2 linked regions of the Alligator mississippiensis genome follow. The protein of the gene in region 2 interacts with the protein of the main gene of each other region in a biochemical or structural test. Links are inferred from orthologs where the notes say so. Each region holds a gene or a part of one and is shown on either strand. Other genes may lie near its edges.

Region 1 (9,068 bases), on a different chromosome or scaffold from region 2:
TCTTGCTCTAACCACTAGGTATTTCCAAGAGCTAGGCAGAGAACCCTACTCCCTCCTCCTCCCCTCCCCTAACCCACCAGCCTTCCTCAGCAGTGGGAAAGGAACCCAGGTGTCTGGACACCGCACTACCTCAGTGTCCCTCCCCCCACTGCACCCCATGCCAGGGACAGGACACCTGGATTCTCTCCCTTGCTTGGGCAGGGACATGGAGACTAATGGCCACAAGGGGGCAGGAAGCAGATGTGCCCAGAGTCCAGCACTCTGGGGTTCCACAGGCAATGTGGGGTGGGGTGGGGCAGGGGCCAGGACTCCTGGGGTCCCTGAGGGAGGGGGAGGGGCTGGAGCTAGGGAGTCCCGGGTTCCGCCCTGGCTATGGAGGGGTTAGCGGAGGTCACCCAACCAACCTGTGAATGGGCTGTGTCCTTATCAGCCCCACCAGGCTGCCTCCCCAGGGCAACACCCACTGTCCCCTGCCCCCCCTTCCTATGTAGGAGGCAGGAAAGGTCAAGGATGAGGCAACCCCCAGCCATGGAGGGGGGGAGGGGGCTGGGGCAATAACCAGACATAGTCAGAGGGGTGCTTTTGCACAGAGAGGCAAGAAAGCCCAGACTGGGGCAATCCCCAGCCCCTACTGCACCAGCCTTGGCCAGCAGTGGGTGCTGTGGGGGTGGGGTAGTCCGATATCACCCAGGTCCGAGTCCAGCTTCCAACATGGGCTTTGTCTGATGCTTTATTGGAGTCTGTTTACAGCACAGCTGCCCCAGTGAGGACCCCTCAGCTCCCCTGCTCTAGCAGAGGGAGCTGATCTCGCTCTTGCTACAGCCCCAGCGGCAGCAGGCAGCACTGAGCCCAGTGACAACATCGCGGGGACCCCGGGGTGGGGCCCAACTCTCATCCAGCCCCCCCCGGCTGCCCCGACCCTGCCACCGCTCCGGGAGCCTCCCAGGATCCCACTCGCTGGAGCCAGCTGCCTCCGACGACTCGTCCCCTCCCAGGAGGCCGTTCAGGGCATCAGGGTCCCCTAAGAAGAGAGTGGAGAGGGAAGCGCAAAGGGTTAATCCGGCCCGCAATGGAGCTTCTTTCTGCCCTGCCAGCATGCTGCCCTGCTGCTGGAGCTGTGGGGCAGGAGGGGGTGGTCAGAATTGCCCTTGTGTTGTGAGCAATATAGGGCTCAGGACGCATGAATGAGTCAATGGGGGGTGGGGGCAGGGAATCACCCTTGTGCTATGAGTGATATAGGATTTAAGACCCATGGAAGAGCTGGGCAGTGTGCTATGAACGATACAGGACTCAGGACCCATGGATGAGCTATGGGAGGGGGAAACACCTTTGTGTTGTAACCAATATAGGGCTTAGGACCCATGAATGAGCTGGGAGAGGGATCACCTCTGTGCTATGAGCCATACAAAGCCTAGGACCCATGGGTGAACAGCCCCAATGGCAGCCAGCAGCTGCACAGAGCCCCCTGCCTGGCTCCCAGTGCTCCCTCACCCCTGCTCCGGCCACCAGTTTCCTCTCCCAACACGCTTCCCGGAGCTGAGAGAACCCAAGAGTCCTGGCTCCCAGTCTCCATGACAACACGTACATTCCATTCACTTTCCCCTGGTGAGTGGTACTGGGCACTGTCAGACCCAAGATGGTGCCATCCTGACCCACTGCCCCCTCCCTAGACCCCTGGGCCTGATTCCAGTTCTTCCTGGGGCCCCTGCCTCCCCCACACCTTGCACCCATTTCCCAGGCAGGAAGGCTGAGGATAGGAAAAGACAGCGACTCATTAAAAGTCACCCTGCAAGTCAAGAGCAGGGCAGGGAAATTAATCCAGGAGTGCTGGCTCCCAGCCTCCTGCCTTGCTCCAACCACTAGCCCCCACTGCTCTCTAGAGCTGGATATGGAACCCAGGAGTCTCATATCCCTGCATCCCTCTCCGTTCCTAGAGCTGGGGATGGAACCCAGGAAACTCGGCTCACTCCCCCCTGCCCGCTCCAGCAACAGAACCCAGGAGTCCGGGCCCCCACTCACCTGCCCGCCGCCAGCGGGATCCACCACAGGTGAAGATGACGGCACGGATGAACTCACGGCCACAAAGCTTGACACCATAGGGGGGACCCCGGGCCTCAGCCTCCAGCTTGGGTGTCACGAGCAGAGTCCCAAGCACCAGCACTGCCAGCAACTTCTGCATGGCTGGATAGAGCGCGGAGCCCAGAGCAGCCTCCTGGCACGGCTGTGGGGCCTAAATAGTCTACACAGGGCCCCCCCCCACCCCCCACCCCCACCCTGGGGAGATGGGTTGTGGGGGCCGGAGCCAGAGCCAGTTTGAGAGCTGGAGAGAGAAGCAGATAACCTTTGCATGCGAGGCATGAGTCACACCTGATCCCCCCCTGGCCTCTCTCAGCCCCCACCTGCTCCATCACTCCCCCCCGCCCCTGTCGGTGCCCACTGCCTCCTGGCTTCACACGGGGCCTTGGGGACTCGTGTACATGAGCTGGGTCTCGGATGTACACGTGTGTCCACACATGGGACTCCTGGCATGTAACTTCTTCTGCATGGGAGTGCTGGGTCCCCTGTACACATATGCATGTGCACTGTTCTTCACTGTGCCTCTGGTCCCCCCTACACACACACACACACACACACACACACACACACACACACACACACACACATTCATGCATGCGAGCTCACCTTCAGTTCATTTCTGGTCTTTCCCTCCCACATGTGAGCTCTCCTTTACTGCATGTCTGGTCCCCTCACGCAAACATATGCACATGTACTCTCTTGGTCCCCAAGCCAACACACACACACACACACACACACACACACACACACACACACACGCATGATCTTCTTCACCATAGTTCTGGTCCCCCCCACACACACACATGCTGTCCTTTACAGCACTTCTGTTCCCCCTCACACGTGTGCATCGTCCTTCACCACACTTCTGGTCCCCCCCCCACACACACACACACCCACGTGTCCACTCTTCTTCACTGCACTTCTGGTCCCTCCTACACACACACACACACATACATATGCTCTTCTTCACCAGTTTCACTCTCTCTCCCCCAACACACGCACCCCACATGCTTTCCACACATGTGTTCTCTCCACCATGCCAACACACCGACAGCCCCGGCCTACCCACTCCCATACAAACTTGCACACTGCTTGCCATGGGTGAACTGCCTCCCTTCACAGATACCTTGCCCACACACACACACACACACACACATACTTCTGCCACATGTGTCACCCTAGGCACTTGTGTGCACATGCATGCACATGCACACACACACACACACACACACACACACACACACACACACACAGAAAATCCCTGCACTTAGTAACAAACATGCTCCCAATCTCTCCCAGTAAGGGGCCCTGGGCAGAAGCCCTGGCTTGGGGGGATCCCAGTTTCTCCCAGGAAGGGGCACTGGGCAGAAGCACTGGTTCCCAGTCTCTCCCAGTAAAAAGGGCACTGGGCAGAAGTGCTAGTTTGGGCACTGAGGTACCCCACCCATGAGCATCCTCCACTCCCGACTCACTGCTCTCACATCCCGCCAGAACCCACAGCTGGCTGAACTTTCCTTATCTCATTCCACAACACTCTTGCCTTCCTCCCCGATAAGGCCTCGCAAAGGCCAGGCCATAGCTTGCTGCAGAGAGATAACCCCACTGGAGCGGGGGCAAACAGCCGATGAAACCCAAGCTTCCACCTTGGCCCAGAGATCAGTCTTCTGGAGAGGAGGGGGGTCCAGGTCCTTCCATGAGGAGAATTATTCATGCCCATCATCATAAGAGCCTGGAGGCTGGGGCTGCTGCAGAGATTGGGTGTGTGTGTTTGGTTGGGGGGAGGGGAGTAGCATCAGGTGTGGGCAAGCTCTCCCCCCCCCCCCCCCAAACTAGTGCTTCTTCCCAGTGCCCTTCGCTGGGAGAGACTGGGAACCAGCACTTCTGACCAGTGTCCCTCACTAGGATAGACTGTGGGTGACAGGTTTGGGGAAAGATGAGGGACAGGGCAGTGGGATGGGAGTATTTGGGGGCTGCTGGGACTCTGTAGGCTCTGCAGGGATCAGAGGCAGCTGCTAGTTCTTCAAACATTGCTGGCTTTAACTTCCTGGAGACAGACTGGACACATGAACATAGGAAGGACCAGAATGGGGCAGACCCATGGTCCATTTAGCCCAGTATCCTGTCTCCGACAGTGGCAGTGATGGATGCTATAGACAGAGAGCATTGAACTGGGGATGTCCAGAGTGATCCATCCTCTAGTCAATACCCTCCCATCATCTGCCATTTATTAGGATAGGAACACCAGAAGAAACATCTCCAACTGTTCTGTTCAACAGACGCTAATAAATCTATCAGCCATGAATGGGGCAGATGCAGGGTGGTGCAATCATCGAATTCTAGAGTCATGGGGCTGAAAAGGACCTCCAGAGATTGCATCCAGTCAAACCCCCTGCCTGAGGGAGGATCAGCCCTGTCCAAACCATCCTAGACAAATCCATTGTTTAACCTCTGAGCAAACCTACCATCAACCCTCACACAACATTGCACCTGAACCTCCACAGGGAAAGCCAAGGAATCATGGTGGCCAACGTCCTGCTTCGGCAAAAGCTGTTAATACACATTCAAGAGACCCCAGGCAGAGACTGTGCCCCACTACAGAGGAAGGCACCTCCCTGCACCAGCCTGTACCAATCTACCCAGGGTGGGAAATTCCTTCCTGACCCCAATGTGGCATTGGTCTGAGCCTGAATGGAGGGGCAAGACCCTCTAGCCAGGAGTCTCTAGGTTGAGTCCCAGCAGGAGCACTGGCACAGCCCAGTCACCTTCTCCAGCCTGGGCTGCAGCCAACACTCAATGCCTCCAAGAGAAACTTAAAAATACCCTGACATCAGTAGCAGGAAGCAGGGGGGCAGGAAGGTAGAATTCCCTCCCAGCCAGCCCCACACGGCAAATCAACAAAGCCCAGAATTATTTTTTTTTTAATTAAAATATATTAGGTATATGTATATACACACATCCTCTGTCATAGACTTCCACTGCACCTTTTCTTTTCCAAACCACCTTAATAAGCCCATGCACCTGGTACAATAACCACACCTGTTCCCCTGCGCCCCCCGCACACCTACCCTCTGCCCTTCCCTAACCCAAACACAGTCTCTTAGTCCCAGCCCTGATTTGGGATTTCCCTTCTCAGTTCATTCATAGTCCTTGTTGCTGTTGATGTCACTGTTACTTCCACTGCTGCTGATCCTGTTGTCCTCCTCGCTATCTTCAGGTCCAGTTGTGTCATTGTCCTCTTCATTCTCCCTGTCCTCTGCCCTTCTCGGGGGGGCTTTGAACAGCCTGTGCCACATGTCCCTTTTCCAGACAGAGTTGGCTGTGTCCTCTCCCACCATTTTCCAGTAATAGGGCTGGAGTTCACTCAGAAACATTTTAACATAGTCTGTTTGCTCAAGCTTAATGTGACTGTACATCAGGAGGTTCCTGCATTGCCACAGGGCACTCCTGATGCAGGACTCAAACAGGTCGAAGCAGGTTATCTGGGACCCCTGATGTTTAGTCAGGTATCCATATAGCGCCACATCCCTTGTCATCAGCATGACTCCTGTCACTTCCTCCAGGAGCCGGTTTACCTTTTTCCACAGAGCCAAAAAAGGTGGTCCATGGTCTCATTCACACCTTGGCAGCTTTCCCTGGGACAGCTGGGTCTAAACTCTTGTCTCACTCTGTGCCTCCATGCCTTCATTGGGAGTACACTGTGAGCTATGAGCCAGTCCAACAAAGCCCAGAAGCCTGGAAAACCCCCATAGTAAAACACTGGCATGGCTAGGCCTAGATCATCCCTGACCAGTGGCTGTCCAGCCTCTCCTAAACCCTCTAATAATGGAGAGAGTACAGCTTCCCTGGGAATCTACTCCACAGACCTCCTGCTCTAGCCATGAAGAAGCTTTTCCTAAGATCCACCCTAAGCCTACTTTGCTGCAACTTCAAGCTATTGATCCACATTCTCTTCTCTAGAGCCCCCTAACCTTTGATTCCTGCTCCCCACAAAGTTTAAAACCAACTGCCTGGCTGTGACAGCAGTAACATTCCTATTGAGACAGCAACGGGGGAATCCATTGACTTCAGGGCTCTTATTGTCTCCCTAGTTCCTGCTACACTCATCACTCCACAGGTGTTAATGACCCTCTCTCCTTTTTTTTAATGGTCTTCATGTTCCCCTAATGAAGACCCTTTCTTCTGAAGTTCTGCTCTCTGTTCATGGCTCCTGGTCATACACAGCTCCTATATCACAACCTTGAAGACTGTTTTCGTCACTTCTGATTGAGCTGTTATGACTTGGAGACCTTGAAGTCATAGACAGTTCTCTAAAAACCATCAACACGATGTGCAGCATCAACCAAAAGAGCCAATAAAATATTGGAGAGATGGAGTTTTACATGAGCTTTTGTTCCCTCTGCTATTTAACTCTACCCCAGAGGCCTGAGGAAGGGGACTGTGATCTCTGACCACTGGCTAATATCCACCTCACCCACGCAGTTGGGCCAATAAGAGAGATCAACTCCCCCCCAACCGTAAAATGTCAGGCATTGCTAAAAAGAGAACTGAAAACAGAGAACATCATTGTGGCATCATACAAATTCATGGGGCACCCACAACTCAAATCCCTGAGGGCAGCTTGGATCCCCACATCTCAGGGTAGGAGGTCAGAGAATTAGACAAAGTTGAGAGAAAGGCAACCACAATGATCAGGGGGCTGGAGCCATTGCCAAGCCAGGAGAGACTAAAAGGCTGAGTCTTTAGTTAGGAAAGGAGAAGGCCAATGATGGGGAAGTTGATAGAGGTCTATAAAGTCATGAAGGGCATGGACCAAGTGAACAGGGAGCTGGTATTCACCAAGTCCCAAGAAACTAGAATTAAGGTACACCACCGACGTGAGCAGGAGACTGGTTTAAAACTAAGAACAAGGGCTTCTTTTTTTCCTCTCCATGCAGCACATTGTTAACCTGAGAGACTTGTTAGCAGGTTCATAGGATCAAAGGAAAGTCAGGCTGGAATAGCAGATGGATCACTAGATACACCCGGTCCATTACTCTGTCACTCTAGTGTGCACAGGACACTCCAAGGAAGGAGCTGAGGTTTGGGAGCCAGGTGGAAAGGAAGCAGAATGTCACTGGCCAACTCAGAGCTGCATGGAACTGGGCCAGGGATCCTGACCTTTCCTGTGCTGTGAACTCTTGACAGCTCAGAAACCTTCCTGGCCATCTGCCCTGGGGAGATGGATCACATAGCTGAGTGGGGTCACCACTAAGCCACTGGGACCCTGCTGATGATGTCACACGACCGTGAGGTCACTAGGTGCCACATTCTCATGATGCCAGCATACAAGATCCCAAGAACCTGGCAGACTAGCAAATATGCCACACACATAATCACACGGCAGCAGCAATCACACTTGCAACCCCATTGACCTCACAGTGATGTCATAAAACATGCCTGGTGGCACATTCACCAATGTTTTCTACATGGCACTTTATAGGGGTGTAGGTTGTAGCCCTATTGGTCTAAGGATATAGGCAGACAAGGTTCTTTGGGTGAATCTGATATATTTTATTAGACCAACTTAAATAGTTGGAAAACAATTATTGAGCAAGCTTTTGGGTTCAAAAACCCTTCGTCAGGCTAAGGACCCTTAGCCTGATGAAGGGTTTTTGAACCCAAAAGCTTGCTCAATAATTGTTTTCCAACTATAAATTGGTCTAATAAAAGATATCAGATTCACCCAAAGAACCTTGCCTGCTTGGCGACTTTATGACATCACAGTTTCACAAAGTGTCATAAACACATGCTACCCAAGCTAGTAATGTAATAGGACACACAGTGACGTAGGGGGGCACAGGACCATCCAGCTACTAGGACCGGTGCGGGGGGCGGGAGGGGGGGAGAAGAAGGACAAGAGAGGAAGAGAAAGCTTTTGAGACTACAATTCCCAGAAGCCCACAAAGCCGGTGGAGCATGCGCACCTCCTCCCACACTGGGGCGAGGTTAATATGCCTCCCCCAGCCTCCTTCAGCTGACTGACAGTGCCCAAAGCCATTCTCAGCCCGCCAACTCCATGCTGGCCCAATCCACCTCCGTCTTTCCAAACCCCGCCCCCATCCACGAGACAGACGAAGGGCACGTCGACAGACGCGGCGAAGAGCCAATCGGCGCCCGCCCCACGCAAGCGACTGCTCGCGATCAGCACGGAGGGCGGGGCGGGCACTGAGTAGCGGGGCCTCGAGCCAATCGGCTCGGGGAACTCAGAGATAAGCAAGAGGAACCACCAATGGTGGCGCCCACCTTGGCCAATCGGCGCCTGGGGTGGTGAGGGCCTCCCTTTCTCCCCCTTCCTTCCAGCCCCGCCCGTAGCCGAGGTGGGTAGCAACAGTTGCCCCGGTGAGGGAACACGGAGGGCGCCATAGCCACGGTAGTCGTGGCGACCAGGAAACCCGGCAACAATAACAACAACCGCCCCGAGCGGCCCCCCCCCCGCGCCTCCACCTCCCCCCGCCCCGCCAGCGACTCCTCGGGACCCCGCCAGCACCCGCGGGCCGAGGCGCTCGACCCGACCCGCCGCGTCGGATCCTCCGCGGGGCTCCTGGCCCGGGCCACGGGAGGGACCAGTAAGGTGGGTCCTACTTTAGTTCTACCCCCAGATACAAAATGGCGGGGGTGCTGGGGGGAATGGGGCACTAAGAACCACCCTCACTAGGGGTGGGCGGGGGGGGAGGCGCCGCCCTCCCCCGACTGAGGGGCCAGGTGGCTGCCCCGGGATTAAAAAGGGCCCAGGCCCGGCGGGCGGGGCTTGCAGCGCTCCCTGGTGATTGGTGGGCGGACGGACCAATGGGAAGAGGCGGGGCCGTGGGGTCGGCCAATGATGGGAGGCTAAGGGAGCGGGGAGCAGTGTGAGGGAAAAGTGGGGAGTCTCTCCTCACTGAGAGGGGAGCCCTGCTTCTGGGCAAGGGAGGGGGTGTGATGTCACAGGGTGATGTCACTCCAGCCAGTGATGT
Region 2 (11,471 bases):
AAGGGGATAGAGTTCTAACATTCCAGTGAATTGTAACACTCATCTGCCAACAATTATTGCTCAGTATAATCAAGGGAAGATCAAAGCCTCTCAAAAAGCCAGAGACCACAGGGATCAAGAGCTTAGAAATGGGAAAGTAAAGAACCAAATAGACATGAGAGGCCAGACTCTATTTCTATTAGGCATGTAAGTGGACTTAAATGTCTAAGTGCAATTTTATTTTACCCTGCTTTAGCACCTGAAAAAACTATTAACACAAAAGGTGTATAGGTCCTCTTCTTCCTCCTCCTCACTGCTTTGTGACTCAATCTTATGAGTAAGATGGAAGCATGTAACTATTCTCCAACTATTTGGGTTGGTCTAATAAAAGATATCAGATTCACCCAAGGAACCTTGTCTGCCTATGTCCTTAGACCCAACACGGCTACAACCTAAACCCCTGTAACAAAGTAGATACACTTATGGATTTTCAGGAATTTGAACATATGGAATAGAATTGCACTTAGATGCCTATGTCCATTTAGACATATGACAGGTAGAATACAATCTGGCATAAATAAATGGTAAAGAAATCTCAAATGCAAGTATTATTTATAAAGCAAAATTCTGTGGATAAAATAAAACTTTAGTCAAATGGGCAGAACTCCATATACACATATGGATACAGATTGGTAGACAGATATCATTCTTTGTTAACAAAATCTGTTCAAGACTTTTTACTTTAAAACATATTTTATGCTACAAAATGTCAGTTGTATAGAAAATAGAATCATTTCCCTTGCCAAAGAAATTCAAAATTGCTAACATCTGTTTCGGTCACTATTGTAACTGTAATTAATGCCTCATCTTTGGAGGAGGTCTTAAAAGGATGAGGAAAATGGTAGTAATTCTTCAGAGCAAATAGCATGAAAAAACATTTCTGTATAATGATCATTATTTGAAGCATATTTGAAAGGGTATTTTTAAACACTGTCAGGCAAAAATCATCCCAGATCCAATACCCTGAAAAATCCTTGCAAGAAGGTTGATATGCACCCCTCAGCCAGTCTAAACAATCCCCTTTTGTCCCTTTGACCCAGTCAGAGACTCCCCACACTAACACTAACTCTAAAATATCCCCAGTGAGGCAGGCTGCCTGCTTAAGATCCATAACTCAGTGTCTACAGACCCATTCCCAGGCCTCCACAGGCAACATCTGTCTTAACTGTCACCAATTCCATAGTTTTCTTGGGCAAGTTGGATTCCCATTTCAGCTACCAGGTGCATAGGTCTCTAAAGCACTGCATCACTGCTCAGGGCTGAGAGTCCAGGAGAAAGGGCTCCACCCCAAAGTAGCATCTGTATGCTTCCTCTGTGAGCCCCACTTGATCTAAAGCTACAGATTTGAGGGTGTCATAGGTACACGCAAGCCCAGTAGGCTGCATGACTTTCCCCAGTCAGGTAAGGCACCAGCATGCAGATCACTGCTCCCAGAACCACTGATATGTCCTAGCCACCCACTCAAAAATCTCCAAAAATGCTTTGGGCTCATCATCAGGTCTCATTTTGGTAAATGTTCCACCCCTCCCATCTGGGTTACAGAAGCTACACACACCTGAGCGTGGGGCTTTCCTTGTTTCAGCAATTTCAGCATGAAGTGTTGCTGCTCCTTTTGCCACTTTTGACAAAACTGCTGCTGAATCTGGAGATGCTGCAACAGCTGCTGTTGTTGCTGAAATGCTGATCACTGCTGCTGATGCAACCCCTCCATCAGTGTCAGCCCAGCCTTGGGGTCCATTCTGCAGGCTCAGAGCTAAGGGCTGCCCACTTTCCACCCCCTGTTTATGCAGGTTGGTGTGCCTGCTCCTGTGCCAGCAGGCATTGTCCCCTTAGCAACCCCTCCATCAGTCCAAAGAATACCCTTGATCCAAAAAAACAAACAAGCAAAGCAAAATATTTATCTTTTCTCCGGGCAGCAGGAGAGGGCTCTTTTGGCTCTGGCCCTTCCTAAAAGCTTCTCTAGGTTTCAGTCTACCTCCCAACCACAGACTGCTCTTTCCTTGGCTCTTCTCACTCCTCTTGAGCTGCCAGCTAAGCACTCACACTTGGGCTCCTACCCCAGCACTTGCTGCCCCACTTAAAGGGCCAGATTGCCCTACTACAGTCCTGTATTGCATTACTACACGTGGAGAGTAACAAAGGCTACCATTTTTAACACAAAAGTATAAATAATAAATATTAGATTAATTTTGCTAGAGATTTTCAACTAAGTTTGATGACTTTTAATTTTTTCCCCCAACTAAAGAGATGGGCTGATTATGCGCTGAATAAATTATAGAACAAATATATGCAGGGGTTTAGGTTGTAGCCGTGTTGGTCTAAGGATATAGGCAGACAAGGTTCCTTGGGTGAATTTGATATCTTTTATTAGACCAACCTAAATGGTTGGAGAATAGTTATTAAGCAAGCTTTCGGGTTCAAAAACCCTTCGTCAGGCTAAGGAAGCTGCAGCAGTTTGTGTGTGCTCTTCCTGGATGGAATGCCATGGATGGAACAAATATATGTCTTTTATAATTCAACCAAGGATAGTGAGTTCCTTCAGCTATCTCTAAAATGATTCTTTGAGGTAAAAAGATACAAAACTAGAAGGCAGAAGCATCCAAAACTAAAAGGAAGTCTGTTTGGGTGAAAAGAGCTATACAAATCCTGTGCAACTGCTTCTATCCTTTCATGCAGATTTCCCAGCAAAGCTGCCAAGGAATGTTTCAGCTCATAATCAGCTGAATCTTGTTTGACTGGTTAGCATGATGAAGAGGTATATCTTTCTCATTAGTGACTTTCCTGCCCCGCTGTTCCATGTCTCCTCTCCTCTTTGTACTAAAGCTTCATTACTATTTCGTCTGTGCAAAGTACCAACCAAATGTCCTGGCCAGGAAGATACTGGAGTGGCCAAAAACTAATTTCCTACAAGGCCATCTTTCCATTTAAATTATATAAAAATAAGGTTTTTAGAAAGCCTGTGCACTCAGAATAGGAAAGAAAGGAATCAGCAGGGGACATGGTGAAACATTCTCTTTTGCATATCACGTCCGGCTAGCTGCTGCACAAGGTTGCATTTTCACTGCGTTTGAAAGGAAGCTGATTGACAAAATATACACCACCCCTTGAGTGCTACTTCTAGGGTAATAGTGGGAAGATTAACTAGAAAGAAAATTCAACCACCCTGAAGGAACACAAAAGATATGCCACTATTTCTTATACTAGAGAAGCAAAAGTATCCTTCACTTCCTGACCTCAACTGCTATACAATTTTGTTTTGCAGCACTGTTAACATGTCTACTAGATTTCACCCTAGAACTAACTGTGGTAAAGATGATCTAAGAAGCATTTTGAACTCTTCTGAATAAAAGAGGAAAATTACATTTTTAAAAATGACAGGTATTACCTGTATCTGTCCAATTCAGCACTCTTGATCATGGAAAGGAAGAAGTAAAAAAAAGTATTTCTTCACCTGTCGTGTCTTTAGCTGGTGAAATTCTCTATTCCAAGAGGTCATAAACTCCAGCACCGTGGGTGGATTTAAAAAGCCATAGGACAATTCTGTGATCACTGATATCTTTCCAATGTGAAGTCTGAGTAATGAAGCCAAATGATCATGTCTGACAATATCAGAATAGTTCCACAGATGTCAGGAAGTAATTTTCCCCACTATATAAAAGTGCAAGATAGACCAAGGGCCAGATCCTAAAAAAACAGCTGAAATGCCTGAATGAGGATCTAGACAGACTGCAAGCACATAAATCCCAAACTGTCCCTCCATCCTCCTCACAGTCACTCAGTAGCTACATAACACTAGAGAGGCATTGAATTTACTAAGTACTTCTTAATCTCAAAATTGCTGAATGTTTTTAGGGCTTTGCTGTGTGCCACTGTGGAGCAGAAAATGTGAGAATTATGAAGCTGGAAGACAACACTTGGTTAGAACACGACGTGGTGGGGGCGGGGAGGGGCGGTCCCAGGTTGTAGCTCTATTGGTCTAGAGGCAAAAGGAACCAAGACTCGTGGCAGAGGCGATATCTTTTATTAGACCAACTAGATATTATAAAAAAAAAAAGTCTTTATTTGCAAGCTTTCAGGCACAGGTACCCTTCATCAGCCCTAGGAGACTGCAAAGATCGTAAAAGTTCTCCTAGGTAGAAATGTAAATTCATATTTCACAGGAGAGCTGAGGGTGTGGTAACGTCTCCTGTTTGGAACAGTGCATTTTGTATGGATCAGGCTCAGAGAAAAGTTGGAAAAGTCTTGTTACCTTGACGTTGGGGTCCAGTCCCTGTTCACAGAACTATTTATACATTTTACATTACACTGTTATTTGATAAAAACAAGCAATTCTGAAAGCGGACACCAGAACCCAGAATTCCCATCACCTCCCTGAGTGCCCCAACCATGGTGCCACAGAGTCATGGGCCCTTCTGTTTCCCCTCCTTCCAGCTTCATGAATTCTGTATTCTTTAAAAGGAGAAGAAGCTTCCTCTTCCTCCCCAGCCTCACTTACAGCTTGAGGCTTGCGGGGCTCTCATGGGAGATGAAGGTTTGAATTCCCTCCGGCTAATGAAGGAACTGGATCCAGCTCACTCAATTCATGGGCAAATGTTTAAATTGCTGCCCTCTTATACATACAATGGGGAGGAGGCACCAGTGGCCATGTTTTAGAACAAACTCGGGTCAGTTCTTTCAAACAACCCTTTCATAGGTGTCCAGAGCATGGGCCTAACAGATGGATCCTGATTGCACAGAGGCCGCTGTTCTGCACATAAAAGCACATAAGCAGATGGCTCTTGTGCAGGGCCAAGTGTAATCTCTGGGCTTCTCATAAGTGCCTGTGTACTAGTCCTAAAAAGGCAAGGGATGAGAGCACGTGCCCTGTTGTATACATGTGTGCACCTGCAAACTCTTCAAAAACAGTTAGTACCAGGTCCCCTGACCTCCTCTTGGACATTGATTAAGCAGCTGATATCTTACAAATAGCCCCAGAGATGAAAGCCGTAATAAGGTAGGAAAGAGCGCGCCAGGAGCAAGGAGCAAAGCGCAACATAGCCTGGAAGAGGGTGAGCTGTGTTTGAGTTTTCCAGCATCACAAACTAAGCTGCCAATGTTGTTATCTTCCAGGATCAATATTATTCTTGATGATTTAAGAAATGGAAAGACCAGAGCTGGGTGTTCCAGGTGAAGACTGCAGTGCTAGCAGGCAGGGAAGGAAACAGAAAAACTGAAAAATTGAAATGAAAAGGAAGATTGCTATACCGGGTCCTGCCTTCGCTTAAGCTCTCCCCACTTTCCTCTGCTCTTCCCAGAGACTGCAAACAAGGAGAAGGGTCTGAGTTCAAGGGGTCTCCATCACATGCACACTTCTTATCTTAGCAACTCTTAGTGCCTGTAAGATGAGTTGCCTGTAGGTGCTGGCTTCTTTTTAGATATGTTTTACCTCCTATTTTCTCCTGAAACACCAGAGCCCTCTGGCGGAGGACATCAGAGTACTCATAGGAGATCTTATCCAGTGAAGGATGCTGGAAGTTAATGGCACATAGAGGTTAATGGCTGGGAGGCAGGTGGTGACCCGAACCGGGCCCCCAAACCCCTGCTGGTTCCCTGCTATAATCCTCTATTTCATTTTTTCTACCTTACAAGCAGCGAGTGTCTCAAGTGCCTTTTTTACTGTTTTGCTTCCACATGATTCATTCTAAAATCAGAGGTACTGGAGTTAAGCTTTATAGCTACTTGATGTCAGCCTCTGGTCTGAGGCTGGTTATCTTTCACTGGAGAAAAGTGTTCACAAAGAAAGGGAGTGGGAAAGACAGGGCGGAGGACGCGGGGCCGTCCTGCAGCAGGGAGCAGGGCTCCGCGTGCTGGGACCCGGACGAGAGTCCAAAATCCGAGCAAGACTCTTTGCCACGCAGCCCGACCCCAAAACACCTCCGGAACCGTGAGGGGCTGGTGGGCAACAGCCTGAGACACAGCACAGCTCGGGGAGCTCCCTCGCACCCCACTGGGGACCGAGTCGGCTAGACCAGCGGGCGAGCCACGAAGCACTCGGGCGCTGACAGCAGACGGGGCCGAGGGCAGCCGGGCGGCGGGGCGGGCAGAGACGCGGGCTGGCAGCCCACGGGATGGTGAGGCAGCGCTGCCAACGCGCCTCCTCCTCCCCCTCCTCCTCCTCCTCCTCCGGGCTTTCCAGCGCAGCAGCGCGGGGGAGCGGCAGCCAGGACGGGCAGGGCGAGCCGGTGCCCGCTGCCCCCCGCAGCTTCCAGGCGCTTTAAAAGCGCGGGGCGGAGAGAGGCGCGGGAGCTGCCGGGGGCTGCGCTGCGCCGCGCCGCGCCTGGGCTGAGCCTCGCAGGCAGCGCCTCAGACGGGGCGGGCGCGCGGAGCCACAGCCGGGCCGCAGCGCCGCGCTCAGCACCGCGGAGAGCTCCCGCGGCACCGCCGGGCCCTGGGGCTGCACCGCCGCGCACCGGCACACCGCGGCGGCACCGCCGGGCCCTGGGGCTGCATCGACGGGCACCGGCACACCGCGGCGGCACCGCCGGGCCCCTGGGGCTGCACCGCCGCGCACCGGCACACCGCGGCGGCACCGCCGGGCCCTGGGGCTGCACCGCCGCGCACCGGCACACCGCGGCGGCACCGCCGGGCCCCTGGGGCTGCACCGCCGCGCACCGGCACACCGCGGCGGCACCGCCGGGCCCTGGGGCTGCATCGACGGGCACCGGCACACCGCGGCGGCACCGCCGGGCCCCTGGGGCTGCATCGCCGGGCACCGGTACATCGGGGCTACATCGCCGGGCACCGGCACATCGAGAGCTGCCTCCCCAGGCACCGGTGTCGGCATCGACGGGCACTGGGACACCGGGGGCTGCATCGGCGGACGACCCGGGCCAGCCGCAGCCAGCGCCGGAGCCCCGCGGAGCGAGGGACGCGGCTGCACCGGCCCGGCTCCGCAGCGCGCCTCCGCCGCCGGGACTGGGCGCGGCCCGGGGGCAGGGGCGGCTGCAGCGGGCGCGGCCCCCCGACCATGGGATGGCGGCCGGCTGCGAGCTCGGCTTGTGCTCGCTGGCGGGCGGCGTGACGGGCGCGGCGGAGGGCGGCTGGGCCGGCGGCAACCGGAGCAACGAGTCGCTGGAGGCGGAGGCGGGCGCGGGGCTGCAGGGGGGCGGCTCGGCCGCCGTGCGCCTGGCCGTGTCGGCCGTGTACTCCGTGGTGTGCGCGCTGGGGCTGGTGGGCAACGCGCTGGTGCTGCACCTGATGCGCGGCAAGCGGGGCTGGCGCAAGTCCTCCATGAACCTCTTCGTCACCAGCCTGGCCGCCACCGACCTGCAGTTCGTGCTGACGCTGCCCTTCTGGGCCGTGGAGAACGCGCTGGACTTCACCTGGCTCTTCGGGCGCGTCATGTGCAAGGTGGTGTCATATGTGACGGCCATGAACATGTACGCCAGCGTCTTCTTCCTCACCGCCATGAGCGTGGCCCGCTACCGCACCGTGGCATCGGTGCTCAAGAGCCAGCCCAGGGGCGGCTGTGGCTGCGGCTGCGGCGCCCGCGGGCTCTGTGCCCTCATCTGGGCTCTGGCCGTGGTGGCCGCGCTGCCTCACGCCATTTTCTCCACCACTGCCAACGTCTTCGGCGAGGAGCTCTGCCTGCTGCGCTTCCCCGACAGCCCCAGCGCGCGCGTGCAGCTCTGGCTGGGGCTCTACCAGGTGCAGAAGGTGCTGCTGGGCTTCGTGGTGCCTCTGGGCGTGATCAGCCTGTGCTACGCGCGCCTGGTGCGCTTCCTCCGTGGCCGCCACGCAAGCCAGCGCCGCTCAGCCAAGGTGACGCGCTCGGTGAGCGTGGTGGTGCTCAGCTTCTTCGTGTGCTGGCTGCCCAACCAGGCGCTCACGGCCTGGGGTGTCCTGGTCAAGCTGAACGCCGTGCCCTTTGGGCCTGCCTACTTCCTGTCGCAGGCCTACCTCTTCCCCGTCAGCGTGTGCCTGGCGCACTGCAACAGCTGCCTCAACCCCGTGCTCTACTGCCTCATGCGGCGCGAGTTTCGCCAGGCCCTCAAGAGCCTGCTGTGGCGCCTCGCCTCACCCTCGCTCACCTCCATGCGCCCCTTCACCCTCAGCACCAAGCCCGAGCCTGACGAGCAGGCCCTGCCTGCCCTGGTGCCCCTGCCTGCTGCTGCTCCACTGCCTGCCACCACCCCATCTGAGCTGCTCTACTACCCGCCTGGCGTGGTGGTCTACAGCGGCCGTTGCGACCTGCTGCCTGCTGGCCCCAGTGAGCAGCGCTGCTGAGCGCCCACCCCGATGGCTGTGACTGTGGGGTGGGATGTCTGGGCACAAAGGCAAGCCCTGCAGCGTTCCTTGGACCTGGCCTCCACCCCACAGGCCTCAGGGACTGGGCTGAGGCCCTTTGAGGTACAGGGGTGTTGCCCCTGGCTGGACAGTGCTGAGGGGCCAGGATAAGGTGGCAGGGAGCTCCCACAGCATCAGCTTCAGTGCCAGGCTTCCCTGAGGAGCCACTTTGCACAGCTGTGGTGGGCCCTACATGCCCAGGGGGCTTGGAGAGGGAAGTTGGGCACCTGAGGGGAAAAAGCAAAGCCTGAGACCATACTGCATCGCTTGTGTCTGATCCTGATCCCCCACCCATAGCTGCTGCAGGGCAGGAGGAAGCTGAGGCACTGGCTCAAGCCCGCAGGCTGGGGGTGCAGAACCTCCTGCTGCAGCCAGGTTTTGTCTTTACACACTTGTGTCTGGGCTAGAGGCTTCATCCTCGCTGTGGTTCATGCTGGCCAGTGATTCCCAGAGTTGGAAACAATGATCTGGACGCTCTGCAGAGGTTTGTTCCAGGGCAAATGTCTGCCACGAACATTTGAGTTCAGCCAAGAACAGGCTGCACAGTCTGCATTCTCCAAAAACATGTTTGCCAGGTGTCTACCCTGCCCTTTACTGCCATGTCAGTATTGTGCCAGCCAGCTAAGCTAAAAGAGAAGCAGGAAACTCAGGGTAGATCCTGCATGTGACATTTATTCCTGTCAGATACAAGAACAATAGATTTTCTCGCTTCAGTTGCCAGAGCAAAACACTGGGGAAAATTTATTTCAGACTGACCGTTTCACAGATTTGAAATAAAAACTGTCATTTAGCCATTATTTCATGCTTTTTTTTTTTCTTTTTTTAAACTTTGTTTAGGTTGATATGGAAAGAAAAATGTAAGTTTGCAATGAAATACCACAATAGCTCTTTACATGTCTCATTTTGACATTTTTTAGTGAATTTCTTCCCTTTTCTCAGCCAAAACCATTACTTGAATTCAAAACAAGTTTATGAATAGTTTTGGTCACCTCCAAACTGCAGTTTTTGTTTAACATTTGGCAGAGAGAGAGAGAGAGAGGTAGTTAACAGTATTATGAGTTTTTCTCAGTTATGCTGAAAAGGGTTTGTGTGACTATAGGCTGAGAGCTGGCTTTCTGCAGCGGAGTGATTTCCACTTCCATGCACAGCGATAGAGTAGAGCCTGAGACTTTCTGTTTTTGCCTCGGCCAACCTTGTACTGACTTCAGTGGGAGTTGTGGTTTCCAGGGGGCTGGACAAAAAGAGAGTAAAATCCAAGGAGGTGGAATTAAGACTTGCTCCTCTGCCCAGGAGCTACAAACTTGAATAAATAAATAAAACAGTGGAGATGAGGGATCCTTACAGTCCTTGTCACTGCCTTACTAGAAGGACTTAGAGCTTCCTAAAGACTCTGAAGGTCTCTGAGTAGGGATATGTATCAAATTATACATACAGAGCAAACATGGAATATTGACCCATAATAGATGACAAATCACAAACTGAAAACTAAATCAGATATGAAATTCATTTCTTTATGACCGAAGACAGTTGATGAAACTTGTTTTTTTCTGTGCGAGAAAAATTAAGAGATAATGTGACAAGTGGCAATAGCTCTTCAGAGTAAAAAAAATAGACCAAATAAATAAACAGGACCGCTGAGCGCTCCTCGCTTTTGTATACGCAGTTTTCAATTATGACTGCCCGCTGTTTTTCAAAGGGACCCCCGCTTCATTTAGTGCTTAAGATGGATGATGCAAAACAAATGGATTGATTGTTTAGTATTTATCTTTATCTTCACTGCTCAATGGCTGGCTCTATTGCATTTTTCACCACATACCATCTAACTCCATATCGAACAAACCTGGGACCTGGAGAAAACAGCTCTTCTTTATATTCATGGCACAAGGCTGCTCAGATAGTATATATGAGAATTGAGAAAAATTATACTTTCATTTGAAGCTGTATCATAGATTGGAGATAAGTAAATTGGTAACAATTTACATTTAGCAACAATTAGCTCAGCATTACAGACATGGGAAAGATATACAGATAAAAATGTTAACAATCCTTTGTTAGTCAAAAACAGTAGACTTTGTGTACTTGTGTAGATTTTGAAATTTACTTTGAAAAGTCTGTAAAAATGGTATGTTTATCTTCTCAGCTCAGCTTTCTCGTATATGGTCATATAGAGAGAGAATCATAAACACTTAGATTAATGGTGCAACTATATTTTTGCCCCTTTCCTTTTCTCCTCAAACTAAAGATGAAGCTCAGAGAGACTCAAAGGAATTTTATTCCTCCTGCTGTATCATAAAGAGAATTATTTACTACGCTCCAATCAGACATGCCTGTGCAAACCCAGTGATAGCAATTAGGCTGCGCAGTTGTCAGCACGCTCCTGATCTGAAGACAATCATGATTCCATAGCACTAACAGACTAATTTCACCTGCTGAGCTTGCCTAGTTGATGATGAAGTATGAAAAAAAAAGAACGGAGTTTGTACCCCGAGCTTTAAGGGACACAAATGTATGAATTGATGTATCCAAAACACTTCTAGGAATCTGACTAACGTTGCTATGAAATTATTGAAACACAAACATGTAATTACTATGCTTTTTTTTTTTTTACAGACACCCCTCTCAAAGGAGAAGCAGTGTAGTAAGGTATTGCCTGTGGACAACTAAACAACACATCCTTGCTAACTCTTATGATTTTATGACAAGTCTCACAATATATGGTGCTTTTCTTAAAGTTTCAGCTCCTAGAGTCAAGTGATTCGGAGAGAATCAGCTTGCATTTAAAACTAAACCAATTAGGCTTGAATCATGATTTCTGAAGGCTAGGGGCTAGCACTGTTGTGAATATTTTGCTTAAATTCCACAGAGACCTAATCCTGCAGCAAGTTCCTTGTGGCCACGCACACACGGAGGTAAATCACGATTCCTAAGCCACTATTGCTTCTATGTCATGTAGGGTTCAGGGTTCTTGGTTCAGCCATATGGGGCTGTTTGCAAGAGTGTTGCCTTACTTCTATACTTGTAATATTCATCTATTAACACTAGATCCATAGCTTGACACTGGCTGGAATGGATAGGAAGAAGGAGTCTGAGAGCTGGTAGCTGTAAAT

The links. The genes of interacting proteins can lie anywhere in the genome.
Region 1: the proteins of RXFP3 (region 2) and RLN3 form a complex in vitro, tested with the Homo sapiens proteins (2 studies listed by BioGRID, with this or other methods). The link is inferred for Alligator mississippiensis from reciprocal best matches to the Homo sapiens genes RXFP3 and RLN3.

Annotation. Positions count from the first base shown.
Region 1 is NC_081831.1:23,289,038-23,298,105, reverse strand, and holds RLN3 (relaxin-3), read right to left. Parts: upstream 2,282-9,068; 5' UTR 2,180-2,281; coding exon 2,020-2,179; intron 1,022-2,019; coding exon 789-1,021; 3' UTR 738-788; downstream 1-737. UniProt on the Homo sapiens protein: May play a role in neuropeptide signaling processes. Ligand for LGR7, RXFP3 and RXFP4.
Region 2 is NC_081826.1:280,366,787-280,378,257, reverse strand, and holds RXFP3 (relaxin-3 receptor 1), read left to right. Parts: upstream 1-6,402; 5' UTR 6,403-7,050; coding exon 7,051-8,304; 3' UTR 8,305-10,008; downstream 10,009-11,471. UniProt on the Homo sapiens protein: Receptor for RNL3/relaxin-3. Binding of the ligand inhibit cAMP accumulation.